2 linked regions of the Arabidopsis thaliana genome follow. The protein of the gene in region 1 interacts with the protein of each later gene in a biochemical or structural test. Each region holds a gene or a part of one and is shown in the gene's direction. Other genes may lie near its edges.

Evidence for each region.
Region 2: the proteins of PIR121 (region 1) and ROP2 form a complex in vitro, tested with the Arabidopsis thaliana proteins (one study listed by BioGRID).

The regions. Positions count from the first base shown.
Region 1 is NC_003076.8:6,100,933-6,108,374, reverse strand, and holds the start of PIR121 (transcription activator), read left to right. Parts: upstream 1-3,394; 5' UTR 3,395-3,509; intron 3,510-3,583; 5' UTR 3,584-3,591; coding exon 3,592-3,645; intron 3,646-3,958; coding exon 3,959-4,031; intron 4,032-4,114; coding exon 4,115-4,179; intron 4,180-4,319; coding exon 4,320-4,397; intron 4,398-4,734; coding exon 4,735-4,854; intron 4,855-4,940; coding exon 4,941-5,011; intron 5,012-5,106; coding exon 5,107-5,199; intron 5,200-5,383; coding exon 5,384-5,453; intron 5,454-5,542; coding exon 5,543-5,607; intron 5,608-5,752; coding exon 5,753-5,948; intron 5,949-6,057; coding exon 6,058-6,209; intron 6,210-6,313; coding exon 6,314-6,407; intron 6,408-6,496; coding exon 6,497-6,706; intron 6,707-6,776; coding exon 6,777-6,988; intron 6,989-7,090; coding exon 7,091-7,235; intron 7,236-7,321; coding exon 7,322-7,442. Other genes in the region: AT5G18420 (CCR4-NOT transcription complex subunit), read left to right, coding at 17-103, 417-470, 629-774, 951-1,101, 1,179-1,316, 1,728-1,799, 1,875-1,948, 2,034-2,175 and 2 more. UniProt on the Arabidopsis thaliana protein: Involved in regulation of actin and microtubule organization. Part of a WAVE complex that activates the ARP2/3 complex. Interacts with the active form of RHO-family GTPases.
Region 2 is NC_003070.9:6,963,278-6,970,480, forward strand, and holds ROP2 (RHO-related protein from plants 2), read left to right. Parts: upstream 1-3,564; 5' UTR 3,565-3,945; coding exon 3,946-4,041; intron 4,042-4,339; coding exon 4,340-4,427; intron 4,428-4,512; coding exon 4,513-4,622; intron 4,623-4,703; coding exon 4,704-4,767; intron 4,768-4,915; coding exon 4,916-4,980; intron 4,981-5,062; coding exon 5,063-5,128; intron 5,129-5,227; coding exon 5,228-5,326; 3' UTR 5,327-5,732; downstream 5,733-7,203. Other genes in the region: SYTB (Calcium-dependent lipid-binding (CaLB domain) family protein), read left to right, coding at 1-102, 183-257, 362-438, 525-771, 850-1,200, 1,285-1,410, 1,504-1,635; AT1G20100 (DNA ligase-like protein), read right to left, coding at 6,037-6,542, 6,632-6,902. UniProt on the Arabidopsis thaliana protein: Inactive GDP-bound Rho GTPases reside in the cytosol, are found in a complex with Rho GDP-dissociation inhibitors (Rho GDIs), and are released from the GDI protein in order to translocate to membranes upon activation.

The DNA.
Region 1 (7,442 bases):
TCTATGCCTTTTGCAGGCTGCTTGTAATGAACAGCTGGAAAAGTCTGAAAGGGCATTTCTTCTCCACCTGTTACAATGGAATAGTTACAACAACGTGAAAGAGGTAGGATATAGCTGTTTGCCTGCTTCTTTTTTGCTAATCCATGAAAATTCAAAATTTATGCATAAATATGTTATGCAATTCCCTTTTCACATATACTCTCTAAGACTACTGATCTCCTTAAACTTGTTTGCTGGGCTCATTTATTTCTGTCATAATTAAGTCCATCACTCCTATCAGGCATATGCTAAGCCTTCTTTCGTTTCTGATATTTTTTTCAAGTCCTGATTCGTAAAATTTTATGAGCTCTGTGACCTGTGGATACTACGTAAGTAATCATGATCAATTAAAGTAACGAAAGTGTGCTCCCTTGCAGATTCTCAAACTCTCAGCTGTTGATTATATCAGATCGTTTGATCCTTCAACTCATGTAAGAGCGGTTGATGCATAGATATCTTCTTTCCAATTATATCTCTTAAGATATTTTATCTTCATCGTAACTGTTCCTTTATTATGCCTAACATTACCTAGAGAACATTTAGAGAAACCTTTTCCAGTTATTGATCTAATATGGGGATGCTCTGTCAGGATTTTCCGGAACTAGGAGAGCTGCAACGAGAGTATGGCGACAAAGCCGATCCTGGACCATCTAGTCACATTTTTGCAGACTATTCCCTGAAAAAGCTATTGCATGATCCTGATGTTCCTCGTGGGTGTGATCCTAACTCTCCAGAGTACGTAACCTATGAGTCAGGGGATTCTGTTTCTTTCTAACTGTTATATACAGTTGAATCTGATCTATTTCTTTCAAGCTTCCAGTTTTCCTCCAAGCTTAATGTTCTGTGTTATAATTAATGTGCCAATTTGAAGTTGATTGTATGAATGATCATTGAGTCAAATAATCTTATAGGTTTGATGTGCAAGCTGGAGTGAATCCCAGAATTGGATCTGGTGATAGGGATGAGGCACTATCTGGATTCTTAGGAAATTTGACAATGGGGGGATTAGGTCCTAGGTGGATCCGTCCATGTCCACCAAGGTACCCAGTTCATCAGAGCGAGGTAAAAATAAGAATAACCCCTTATTCAACTGGTTCAGAAAATTATCGAACTGACCTAAATGGTTCAACTTCTTACAGTTGCTTTGGATTGACCCTGATAACAAGCATGAGCTTGTTTGGGACGATAAAATGTGTGCTGATACTAGCAGTGGTGCAACAGTTAGAGACTTGCTTGTTAAGGGTTTAAAGGTGACACTTTCACCTACGGAGCAAGAGGTATGTTATCGCTCGTTAATTCTTGATATGCGCATAAAATCATACAAGTATTGACCATTTTATTACCTATCTTACTCTAACACTTATAAGCAAGTTAACATAGCAATGGGACAGTAACTACATATGCACAAATTTTAAAGGTTGTAAAGGCAGCCATTGTATGGCAGTAGTTTTGAGAGAGAAGTCGTGCTCGTGCTATCACTCTAGTATTTCCTTTCTCATTGGATTTAAAGATCTAGGATATTAAGAAGGAATTGACTGCAGTAAGAGTTTATGGAAAATAACCGTGCAATAGATAAATAGTGATTGTGATGTTTTATTTCATCAGCCTTGCCCGTATAGCTGATGAATTTAGAAAACCTGGATCTTTTGAGTGATTGAAATAACTTGTTTTATTTATTTACTGGCCAGGACATCATTACAGAATTGGCAAATGACCCAAAGCTTGTCTTTCACTGCGGAATAACTCCACGGAAGCTGCCGGTATGTGATTCATTTTCTGGCAGGTGGTTTTTTTCTTTTTTCTTTTTTTCATGTGATCTAGTTTCTTATTCTCAGCAATTAGTAGAGCACAATCCTCAGATAGCAGTTGAAATTCTCACCAAGTTGAATAACTCCACAGAGATTAATGAGTAAGTCATCACCTTATTGGTTCCACCATTTACTTTCGACCAAAATTATAACTTTTAAAGTGGGAATCTAAGAATGCTTCTTCAGCTATTATGAAGCTCTAGGAAATATGGACATGAGCCTGCACTCAATGGAAGTTGTGAATAGGCTCACAACTGCAGTTGAACTTCCCAAGGACTTCATACGGATGTACATCACTAATTGCATATCGTCTTGTGAGAACGCTAAGGTATTAAAACAAAGCGTCCTTTTGATTTCCCGTTAGGTACTTAAAACAAAGCTTTCTATGAGTATCCATAACGCCATCCTATAATCTTGTGTGAAAAAACTTCTGCTTGTGCTTTGCATTATGTGCTTTGTGTATATGATTCTCGGATTTGTTGATTTCAATGTAGTTGTTTTGTTAACGGTATAGTGATATATTGTTTTCGATCTGTAGCAGCAAGACAAATACATGCAGAATAGGCTTGTACGGCTTGTTTGCGTCTTCTTGCAAAGCTTAATTCGTAACAAGATCATCAACGGTATGCATTCTCTGTTTCTGACTGATTGCTATCAAATTAGGCGTTTTGCTTTGCTAATAACACAGAAAGATCACTAGATACATTCACAGAGGAAGCTTTTATAGTCTATTAGTATGATGTACAATTGTGGGTGATATATGTTTTTTTTGGGTAAAAAATGTAACAGTGAAGGATCTATTCATAGAAGTTCAAGCTTTCTGCATTGAGTTTTCTCGGGTTCGAGAAGCAGCTGGTCTCTTCAGGCTTTTGAAACAATTGGATGAATAATTTACTCTTTCTTCTTCTTCTTCTTCTTCTAATCATCTTCGTCTCCATTTTATTGTATTCCCTATTTTTGTAGCTAAAGAAAGTACTTTATTTTGAATCCAAGACAGTTTTCGCTTTTTCTAGAGTTTCATTCTCAATTCATATGTTTTTACAACAAAAATTTCTGGTTAGACTTAGACGGCATGTCCTTTCCATTAGGCTACTAACACTTAACCGTGAACGGTTTACATGCTCACACCGATAGCACCAACACCTGCTGGTTCTTATCCGGATTGGTTTAAGGCTCCGGTTAAACCTTAAAAGTTGTTACTGATTCTACAAAGTAACTTATTTTATGTTCAGTAGTTGTTCACTGTAAAATTGTATTTATATCTATTTTGTTTTGTTACTGGTATTACTCTTATGTATTTTCCCAAAATAAGAAATGGTTGAGGATAAAGGAATCAGTAAATAATGATTTAGCTGTCATCAAGTTTGCTTCATAGTAAAGACACAAATGTAATGCTTCTTCTCAAAGCTTTAATCGGATTGAACAAATATGTACTAAAGAAAAATTCTGAAAGGTGAAAATACAAACGAGGACCCAAAAAGAAACATTTTTTTTTTGTTACAGAAAAACAAATAGAAAAAGAAAGCTTCCAACTTTGCGAAATATTTGGTTCGGACAGAGTAGTAGCGAATTTATCGATCTCTGTCCGTAAAGAATCAGAAGAAAGGCGAATCAATTGACTTGAAGTAGTAGCAGCTCTCCTCTCCTCTCCATTGTTGTTGGGTAAGAGCCTTAAAGTTGAAAGCTTTATCCTTTAGTCGCCCAATGTTGCTAATTGCTTCGTCTGATCTTTCCAGGTGACTCAATGGCGGTTCCTGTAGAGGAAGCAATCGCAGCTCTTTCCACATTCTCCTTAGAGGTAACTTCGATATTCTAGATTTTGGTAAAATTTAGAAATTGTGGGTCTTTGGATCCTTTTGACTACAAATTTTCTTTCCGGAGTTCATATTTCAAAATTTTCTTCTAGAAAGGATATGAAATTATTGTTTCTATTTCTTGTTAAATCCTTTTCGTGTAAAATTATCACATATATTGTTTAATCACCTGTGGATCTTTGCCTAAGTTAGCAGTAAAATAAGTTTCAACGAAATGTTGAAGATTTAAGTAGCTTCTTGAAAAATTTGAAGTCACTCTAGTACATTTTCTTGAAGCATTTTGAATTTTGGTTATAGGATGAGCAACCAGAAGTCCAAGGACCGGCTGTGATGGTTTCAGCTGAAAGAGCAGCAACCGATAGTCCCATCGGTATGCTTCATTGTTCTCTTGTCACTCTTTTACCATAAAATCCAAATAATCAAGATGTTTTTTTTTTTATTACTATTCTGTAGAATATAGTGACGTCGCTGCATACCGGTTGTCTCTATCAGAAGACACAAAAGCTCTTAACCAGCTGGTATATGGCTATTCTTCTTCATTTGCCTCATCTTAGAAAGACTGATTAAATTACGATTTGATATTTTTACGGTTATGTTGTGTTAATCGTGTTATATTTGAATACTTCAAGTAAGTTTTCAACCAATTGTATATATGCAGAATACACTTATACAAGAAGGAAAAGAGATGGCGTCAATTCTATACACATATAGAAGTTGTGTCAAAGCACTGCCTCAGGTCCTTGTGAAATCTATCACTACACTCCTTGTCTCCATTGCATATCTACCTTTAGACATTTTATCTGATAAAATGTAGCTTTGAGAATTATGCTATGCGTTAGTTCTTCATGGTATTCGAAATCTCGTAGCAACTGTACGAGACTCTTTTTTGAACTACAAAGTATAATGCAGTTATAATGCAAAAATAAAAGCAACAACAAAGTTCTCTGTATAAATAATAGCGAATGATAGAAATTACTGAAAATAATATCAAATACAGTACTTCTTGCTGGGTGTTGTTGTGTATATTTCTTCCATAACACACATAACTTTCTTTATTAATGATATACATGCAGCTTCCCGAATCTATGAAGCATAGTCAAGCGGATTTGTATCTAGAAACATATCAAGTTTTGGACTTAGAAATGAGCCGTTTACGCGAAATTCAAAGATGGCAATCGTCGGCTTCAGCTAAAGTGCGGTGTATATCCTTCCTCGTCCAACTCGTTTTATATAAATTCCTGTATCAGAAATAATGTGCGTATATTCTCTGTCTGTGCAGTTAGCTGCTGACATGCAGCGGTTTTCCAGACCTGAACGGCGGATCAATGGTCCCACAGTCACACATCTTTGGTGGGTTATAACTCTTATTTTGTGTTTTGTATTAGATCCTTGGATGATTAACTTTCCTCGTGTATATAGTTTAACTGTGATTTTACTTAATATAGGTCAATGCTAAAGTTGCTTGACGTCTTGGTTCAGCTGGATCATCTTAAAAATGCTAAAGCTAGCATTCCTAATGATTTCTCTTGGTATAAGAGGTGAAAGATATAATACTTTTATCTTTCCTATCTATATTTTCTGCAAATAGGACACTTGAATGTAGGTAGATCGATGTTTGTTACTAATCCTTTCAGCTACTAAAGCTCTATTTAAGAGTTGAATTAGTTTCCTAGAAGCTTTTTTTTTTAGTTTATGTTCTTAAGATAGTTTCACTCTTTTCAGAACATTCACTCAAGTCAGTGCGCAGTGGCAAGATACAGATACAATGAGAGAAGAGTTAGACGACTTGCAGGTGTTTGCATGGCTTGTTTATGCAATCATTTGATAATGCCTTCCCCTGTGGTTTGTCGTAAATGAAAATGTGAGTTCTTATGTATGCAGATCTTCCTGAGCACAAGATGGGCTATTTTACTCAACCTGCACGTTGAGATGTTCCGTGTAAACAAGTATCCTTTCTTCCAGACATTTATCACCATCGTGTGGCTGTTAAAGACATTATTATGGGTTTGTCTATCTGAGATATGCATGCTGCTCAAGTCCCTTGTGCCATTTGACTATATTGCAAGCTTTTGGATTCCTTAGTAAATTCAGTGTGGAAGATATTCTCCAAGTTCTCATAGTCTTCATCGTGGAGTCTCTGGAGTTGGATTTTGCACTACTTTTTCCTGAGCGGTATATTCTTCTCCGGGTTCTACCTGTTCTTGTTGTCTTAGCAACACCATCTGAGAAAGATACCGAGGCTTTATACAAGAGGGTAAAACTCAACAGATTGATAAACATTTTCAAGGTATTGAGATTCATGTTATACCTGTTTTCGCATTCACAACCAATATACCGCAAAGCCTTGTTTCCAAGTCGCTAATTGTCATATTTGTTGTGTGTTTTTCGGCTATCAGAATGATCCTGTCATTCCTGCGTTTCCAGATCTCCATCTTTCTCCTGCTGCAATTTTGAAAGAATTGTCGGTATACTTTCAAAAGTTTTCATCACAGACTCGCCTTCTGACTCTTCCAGCACCTCATGAGCTCCCTCCACGTGAAGCGCTAGAATATCCTTTAATATTTTCACTGTTACTTGCCTATTTTAACTATTATCTGGATTATTGTTAACCGTACACATGCTTTGAAAATTGCAAGCCTTAACATATTTTACATATCAGAGGCACTATTTGATAGTCAATCACATTGGAGCTCTCCGTGCTGAGCATGACGATTTCACAATCCGATTTGCTTCATCCATGAATCAGGTGCTCAAGCTATCTCTATCCCTGGAGCTCCAATTTTCTTGTTCTTATTTTGAGTCTCTAGGATGTTGTTCTCACTTGCTTTCATGCAGTTATTGCTGTTGAAGTCAAACGATGGAGCATATACTGAATGGTGCAGAGAGGTCAAAGGAAACATGTACGATATGGTTGTTGAAGGTTTCCAACTGTTAAGTAGATGGACAGCACGCATTTGGGAGCAATGTGCTTGGAAATTCTCTCGCCCATGTAGGGATGCAGGAGAGACTCCTGAAGCCTCCGGATCATATTCTGATTACGAGAAGGTAATACTTGTGAAATATTTTCGAAAAGTTTTATCTTTTATGGTAACAAGTTTTGGATTCTTTTAAATAGGTGGTGAGGTTCAATTATACTGCAGAAGAAAGGAAAGCCTTGGTAGAACTTGTTGGCTATATAAAGAGTGTAGGATCGATGCTGCAGCGCTGTGACACATTAGTTGCAGATGCTTTATGGGAGACAATACATGCCGAAGTTCAAGATTTTGTACAGAACACGTTAGCCACAATGTTGCGTACCACCTTCCGAAAGAAGAAAGATCTCTCAAGGTGAATTGGTTTTCCTTTATTTTCTTTCTGTTTCAAGTCCATGTTCTCTTAAACTTAAGCTTTGCATATTGTTAACTTATCATATGTATGGTTGCATTTCAGGATTCTTTCTGATATGCGGACACTTTCAGCTGACTGGATGGCAAATACCAGGCCCGAACATGAGATGCCATCTTCACAACATGGAAATGATGAAAGCAGAGGGAATTTCTTTTATCCGAGGCCTGTTGCCCCAACAGCAGCACAGGTTTGGGTCCATTTCAAGATGATTTTAAGTACAACAACAGATGGTAAGATCCAGTGCTTGAACTTCTTGCTTTTTTGTTGTTTCAGGTGCATTGCTTGCAGTTTTTGATATATGAGGTTGTCTCTGGTGGAAATCTGAGGAGGCCAGGGGGATTCTTTGGAAATAATGGCTCTGAGATTCCTGTTAATGACTTAAAGCAATTAGAAA
Region 2 (7,203 bases), on another chromosome or scaffold:
GTGATTGATTTGCAAGTTTACGCTACTCCAAGGATTACTCTGAAGCCTTTGGTTCCATCATTCCCCTGTTTTGCCAACATATTTGTCTCTCTTATGGATAAGGTATAATTCAAACCGGAGCAACCTTATTTTGTATAATACCTTAAAACTCAAGAGAGTCTACAATGTGATATCTTCTGCAGCCACAAGTCGATTTTGGACTGAAGTTACTAGGTGCAGATGTAATGGCGATTCCTGGCTTATACCGATTTGTCCAGGTAAAGACGTTTTGGAAGTTGTTCCTTTAACTTCCCATGTAAGGAAACATTCTTGTTCGGACCTGAAACTCTGTTTCTTGTGTTATTGTTTATTACTATTGTAGGAAATCATTAAAGATCAGGTTGCAAACATGTACCTATGGCCAAAGACTTTGAATGTTCAAATAATGGATCCTTCTAAGTAAGTTCTTTTTTTTTCTTGTCAAATGTCACACTTGTGTTACTATTTGAAATTTTTGTTATAATTCAATTTTGCGCAATCTGCAGAGCTATGAAGAAACCTGTTGGATTGCTTAGTGTGAAGGTCATAAAGGCAATAAAGCTTAAGAAGAAGGATCTTCTGGGTGGATCAGATCCTTATGTGAAATTAACACTCTCTGGAGACAAGGTTCCTGGTAAGAAGACAGTTGTTAAACACAGTAATCTGAATCCTGAATGGAACGAAGAATTCGATTTGGTTGTTAAAGAACCAGAGAGCCAAGAGCTACAGCTCATTGTTTATGACTGGGAACAGGTAAAACCAGTTTGTGAATTGGCTTGTTTCAATAATTGCTGGAGATAATTTGCCTTATGTACACTTGATATATTTCAGGTTGGTAAACATGATAAGATAGGAATGAATGTGATTCAACTCAAAGACCTTACACCAGAGGAGCCAAAACTCATGACACTCGAGCTCTTAAAATCCATGGAACCAAAAGAGCCAGTTAGCGAGAAATCGCGTGGACAGCTCGTGGTTGAAGTCGAATATAAACCTTTTAAGGATGATGATATTCCAGAGAACATTGATGATCCAAATGCAGTAGAGAAAGCACCAGAAGGCACACCTTCTACTGGTGGCTTGCTTGTGGTGATAGTTCACGAAGCTGAAGATCTAGAAGGCAAATATCACACTAATCCTTCTGTTCGTTTGCTATTCAGAGGAGAAGAGCGTAAGACAAAGGTATATATAAAACTTCTCTTAAAACTCAAAATGGAAACATATGAGAGGACATCAAATTTTACACATTTTGGTTTGATTTTGTAGCGTGTGAAGAAAAACAGAGAACCGAGATGGGATGAAGATTTTCAGTTCCCATTAGATGAGCCTCCCATAAACGATAAGCTACACGTTGAAGTCATAAGTTCTTCTTCAAGACTAATTCATCCCAAGGTAGAAACAAAATCAGATCTCTCTTTAAAGATTGCATCAAAATCGTATCTCTGAGAAAGCAAAAACTAACATTTTGATATATGATTTGATCAGGAAACTCTTGGTTACGTGGTGATAAATCTTGGGGATGTTGTGAGTAATCGGAGAATCAACGATAAGTATCATCTGATTGATTCCAAGAATGGTCGTATTCAGATTGAGCTTCAGTGGAGAAATTCTTCTTGACTTCAAAGGTTCGTGTTTTCTTCTCTTAGGGTTCACGAAACAACACTTTTTGTTTGCCTTCCTTCCTATGTACGTAAAACTTCTATATTTGTTGCATGTTGGTTGCTATGGCTCGATTCGAAGAATAATGGGTTACACAGTATAATGGGCCACGTATAAGCCTTATAGTTCATATGGATTTTATTGTTTGGACCTTTTGGTTTATTTCTTGTGACATTTTCTGATAGTTTTTTTTGTCGTTTCTGAATTATTTTGCAGCTTATTGGATTATGGCAATAGTGATTATGGATTGTCTTTTTCATCTATTTCTTAGAGAATTCTGGTCAGTAATTGAATTATTCTATCAAAAAGGAAAAAAGATTTTTGAACAGAAAAGAAGTGAAGTTAGTTAATAAAGAGAGATTGGTCACTGGTTGGTGAATACTGAATAGTTGGTAAGCTACTAAGCTTAACTTCTTTGATATCATGATTTGGTTAATTCATACTTTTCGTGTACAATTTAGTGGTTTGTGCTACTATCATTGAATGTGATTATTTAAATCCAAATCCACATGATAAATGTTTATTAAAAAAATTATGAGTGGTTAAATTAACACATAATTTTGTACGATTTATCACGGTCATTTGATAAATATTTGTGGATAACTTTATTACATTTCTAATTTTCATTATTAAACTCAGTAAGCATATAATCAATATAAGCAATTTCTTTTTTGGTCAGCAATATATATATATATATATAGTCTTATGGAATGAAAAAGTTGAAAATAACACATGATGGCAATTAGCTACTAATTCATCAAGTTTGACAAATAATTATAAGAAGCTACCGTCTGGTGTGATTATGATTAGGTGATGGGACAATCAGTGACGTGGTGGATCGTTAGTGGATTGATTTAGTTAGAGTTGGGCACGTCCCATTGGACTCTAGTCGCCTATGTTTCGTAATCCGAGGGGAATCGAAAAGAGAAAATAAGTAAAAACATCATAAATAAGACATTTATGAATCGTGCCGGCACGTTCTTGATGAGTGAGAGTTGCCAAATCCAATGATTAAAGATTTCATTCATGCCTCTTCGTATTTTGCTTAAGTCTCTCTCGTATGCCATTTTTTTTTTTTTTTTGCTATACTATAAAGTCTATCTTAGATCATTTGAATTTACCTCCCTTGATACATTACATACGAGAGAACTGGCAGTTGTAGAAGATGTTGTGAATGGGAGTCTTATAACTGGATATGCGGATTCAAATTCGCTAGCTAAAGAAAGTTTTTATTTGAAGAAAATCTATAGTTTTGAGACGGTATAATATTTTACCAATTACTATTTGTAAAATAATCGATACATGGTTAAACTAAGTAAGATAACAACTTTTAGTTGTTGTTTTGGTGAAATGATAAACTTCTATGGAATTCTTATCTTGTTTTGGTAGGTACCAAGAGGATTAGACAGATAAGCGACTTCGTTTACTGCTAATATTGATAATCAAAACTTCGTTAGCTATGTTTTAATAAAGTTGTGAACAAAAAGAATGTTATGGAAAACTGCTCAAAACTGGATAAGTCTCATGCCAGTAAGAATCAAAGTGGCAGTGCAAGTCCAAAGACACAACACACTAGGATTTTGAAACTTGCATTGTTCAGACAATATATGATAGTTCAAAATATTACCTTACTAAGATTTCTCTAGGCTTCATGTCAATGATTTAGTCCAAATTTAAGAGACAATTTTAACTCAAAACAACAATGAAAATATGTATCACAATAAAAAAGTGTTAAACGAAATATATTATTAAAAACATTTAAAAACTGTTGAGAAACCAAAGAGATAATACAAAAACATTCATGACAATTGTATTTTTCTTGTTGTTTAAAAAAAACTGACAGATCTTCTCCATTTCAAAATTCAAAATCCGTGACATAAAAGAAAAGAGACTTTCAAAATTTTGAAAAAAGAAAAATAGAGGTGAAAATAAAAAGTATAATATAAATAAAAGGGGAGTGAGTGTATATGATAAGGAGGTGTTTGGTGCTGTTCTCTTAGCTGTCTCAGAGTTGTTGTTTTTCTACTAGTCCCCTCCTCCTATAGGCTCCTCTCAAAGTCATCTATCAACCGCCAAATCAACCTTCTTCTTCTTCTTTTCCTTCTCTCTTCGATTCTTTTTCGAATTTGGGTGATTCTCAGATTCACAAGCTTTTAGAGCTCGAATTTGATTGGCGAGCTAGAAATGTCGAGGTTTTGAGGAAGAAGCAACCACAAAAGAGGATTGATTTTAAGGGCTTTTTTGTTTGTTTCCGATCTTGCGGCAGAGATGGCGTCAAGGTTTATAAAGTGTGTGACCGTCGGAGATGGTGCCGTCGGAAAAACTTGCATGCTCATTTCTTACACTAGCAATACTTTTCCTACTGTAAATCTTTCCTCTCCTATTTCAATATCTCTTCGGTTTCTTATTTTTTTGTTGAGCTCGTTGCAAGAGTAGATTAGTGATCTGCAAGGTTTTTGCAAATTGGATTCAGGTGTAGATTTTAGGTCATGGAGCTGTATACTAGAAATTGATCAATTTCGTTACAACTTTTTTTGTTTTAAGACTTTGAGAATCTAGGCCAAAGTATTGATCTTGAAGCTACTGTGTTTTGTTTTTGCTTTTTATAAAGGATGATTTTGATTATAAGGTGTAAATCTGTGACTTGTGATTGGTGTTTCAGGATTATGTGCCAACTGTTTTCGACAACTTCAGTGCTAATGTGGTTGTTGATGGCAACACTGTCAATCTTGGATTGTGGGATACTGCTGGTAATTCTTTCGTTTCACCGTTTGGGATTTTCCTTTTGTTTCGGTTGTTTTTGACTTAGTTTGTGTTTGTGGGGTTTGTTAACAGGTCAAGAGGACTACAACAGGTTACGACCTTTGAGTTACCGTGGTGCTGATGTTTTCATTCTTGCTTTCTCTCTTATTAGCAAGGCTAGCTATGAGAATATAGCCAAGAAGGTTTGTCTCTCTTTTGCTGATAAATCCTATACAGTTTGTGTTGATGAGTGATCTTATTTGATTTCGTTCCTCCTCTCTCAGTGGATTCCTGAGCTCAGGCATTATGCTCCTGGTGTTCCCATTATCCTTGTTGGGACAAAACTCGGTAATCACACACTTTCCCTATTGAACTGATCATGCTATTTTTTTGACTGAAAGATCTGTGGTTACGTTCCTACAAGCCTTGTGACACCAACGAAGTTGTTAAGTTTTCTTGCAAAATTTGATTGTTAAGTCACTGGTATTTGCTGCAGATCTTCGAGATGACAAGCAATTCTTTATAGATCATCCTGGTGCTGTGCCAATTACTACAAACCAGGTACATATCCTTTTAAACGAATAGTCTTGCAATGATTGCCAGTTCTTAATAGAATTGTCTGATGTTGTTTTGAATGATGCAGGGAGAGGAACTGAAGAAACTGATTGGATCTGCTGTCTACATTGAATGTAGTTCAAAGACACAGCAGGTATACATAACAAATCGCTTGTCCTGTTCCTCACTGTTTGCAATATTTGATCTTATCAAGAGGGTGAGCTTTATTTCTTTCCTTTTGGTGTTTCTGCAGAACGTGAAGGCAGTGTTTGATGCAGCTATAAAAGTGGTGCTTCAGCCACCAAAGCAGAAGAAGAAGAAAAAGAATAAGAACCGTTGCGCGTTCTTGTGATAAGAAAAACCTCTAAGACTAGGTAAAACCAACTAAAGAAAGAAGCAGAAGATGATTTCAACTATTTGATTCGGCCCATTTTAATATGATAATTTCGACGTGAAGGGAGACATTTCTAGTAGCTTTTTTGTATAGTTGCTAAAACGAGCTTTGTTGTTGTTGTGTCTTTTACTCTTTGCTGGTGAATCTTTCGAGTCCACAGACTAAGAGACCGTGTGTTGTACTCTTGCTATGTAGACTAATCTCTGTCTCTCTTCTCTTTTGTTCTTGAGGATCATTTTGTATTAACAAATGAATCTAATTAATATTTGCAACGTTTATTTTGTTTTTAAGAGCTCTTGTTTTCTGCTTCTTTCCCACAAGATGTATATTCATGTGATCTTACCAAGCATCATGCTTAAAGAGATCTTTCTCCAGCTGCCTAAGCAAGAAGTTAAACTGGGGAACGGCTAAACCAGTCAACTTCTTGCAAGAAATTGCTTATTTAAAAGTAGCCAGCTTTTGCAATCGCATTGATCAATTCAACCAAAAACTTCCAGTTGACAAAAATCATGTAGACGATAGTTTAGTAAGTGGAAACCATGATTTTTGATTAGTGTCAAAAATACAGAGATCGTTCAAGTATCATAGATCACTGTGATTGTTACAATGATAACTGTACAAAGCTAAGGCCTAAGGCTAAGCTGAGAAAGAACAAAACAATATGGGACCTAAAACGGGACAGTATATGGTAATGAAAAAATTCCAACTTCAGACAATAACATAGCTCTAGGCAAAGAGGAACAATCTCTTGACGTCTGCAAGCTCATGATCGTGTCTTCATCAGTCTTATAAGAAGACTTGGCAGAAGAAACATTTTCTTTCCGACTTGTTCCAAAAAGCCAGTCATCGCTGCTGCTATCATCTTCCTCCAAGGAAATACAGGGAGGAACTAATTCATCAAACAATGAATTGTACCGGGATTCTTTGCTAGGCTTATGTTTCTTTCTCTTCTTTGATTCGGAAATAATTGCTACCTTGCCACTCTCAAGAGAAGTTGAGGGTACAGCCACATCATGATCACAGATACTTGGAAGAGAGACAGAACTTGGTAATTCGCTAGGTCTCTGAGTCCCTGAAGTGGAACAAACAGGATCCTCTTGAGGTACAGCTTCAGCTTCTTTCGGTTTCTTGAAAACAATACGAATCCGTAGTGGTTTACCAGCTACAGGTGTAGCTGCAAATGATTAAACGTCTCTGTTTCAGTATATGTATTCAAACACAATAAAGATATTCATCTAATCCGGGAAGAAACAAAGCACAAACCTTTGATTTGACTCTCAACAACAGCAGGAGAAGTTTCCCTTCTTCTCTTCTTACTGTTCTGGCTACCATCAGACAAATATCCAACCTGAGGTTGCTCAAATTCTTCTGTTAAACAAGATTTCTCAAGCTGTTCGGATTCATATGAGACTGTCTTGGTTGTGGAATACTTCTGTTCAAGGGATTTCTTCTCTTTCTTTAATTTCTTTTCTTTCTTTTTCTCCTTCTTCTCTTTCCGATGCAGCTTTTTAGAATCAACTATTGGTCTTTCGATCTTTATAATCCAATCAGAATAAAGGATTTAGACTAGAGGAAGGATTTATCAGGCAAACAACCAGATACCCATATACGTGGGTAACATCATTCAACCACAAACACACATAATGTTAATTACTCAAAACATATATCTACAACGCGTCTTTATGGTTGACTTTATAATTGGAGACCAAACCAAACTAACATACATGTCTACACGACATCGTTAAGAACGAAATTCATTATGCTAAAACATGTATAGTGTAGATTCAATTCATAGATCTATGCTGAAGATATTTTCCTACAATTTAACCAATCAA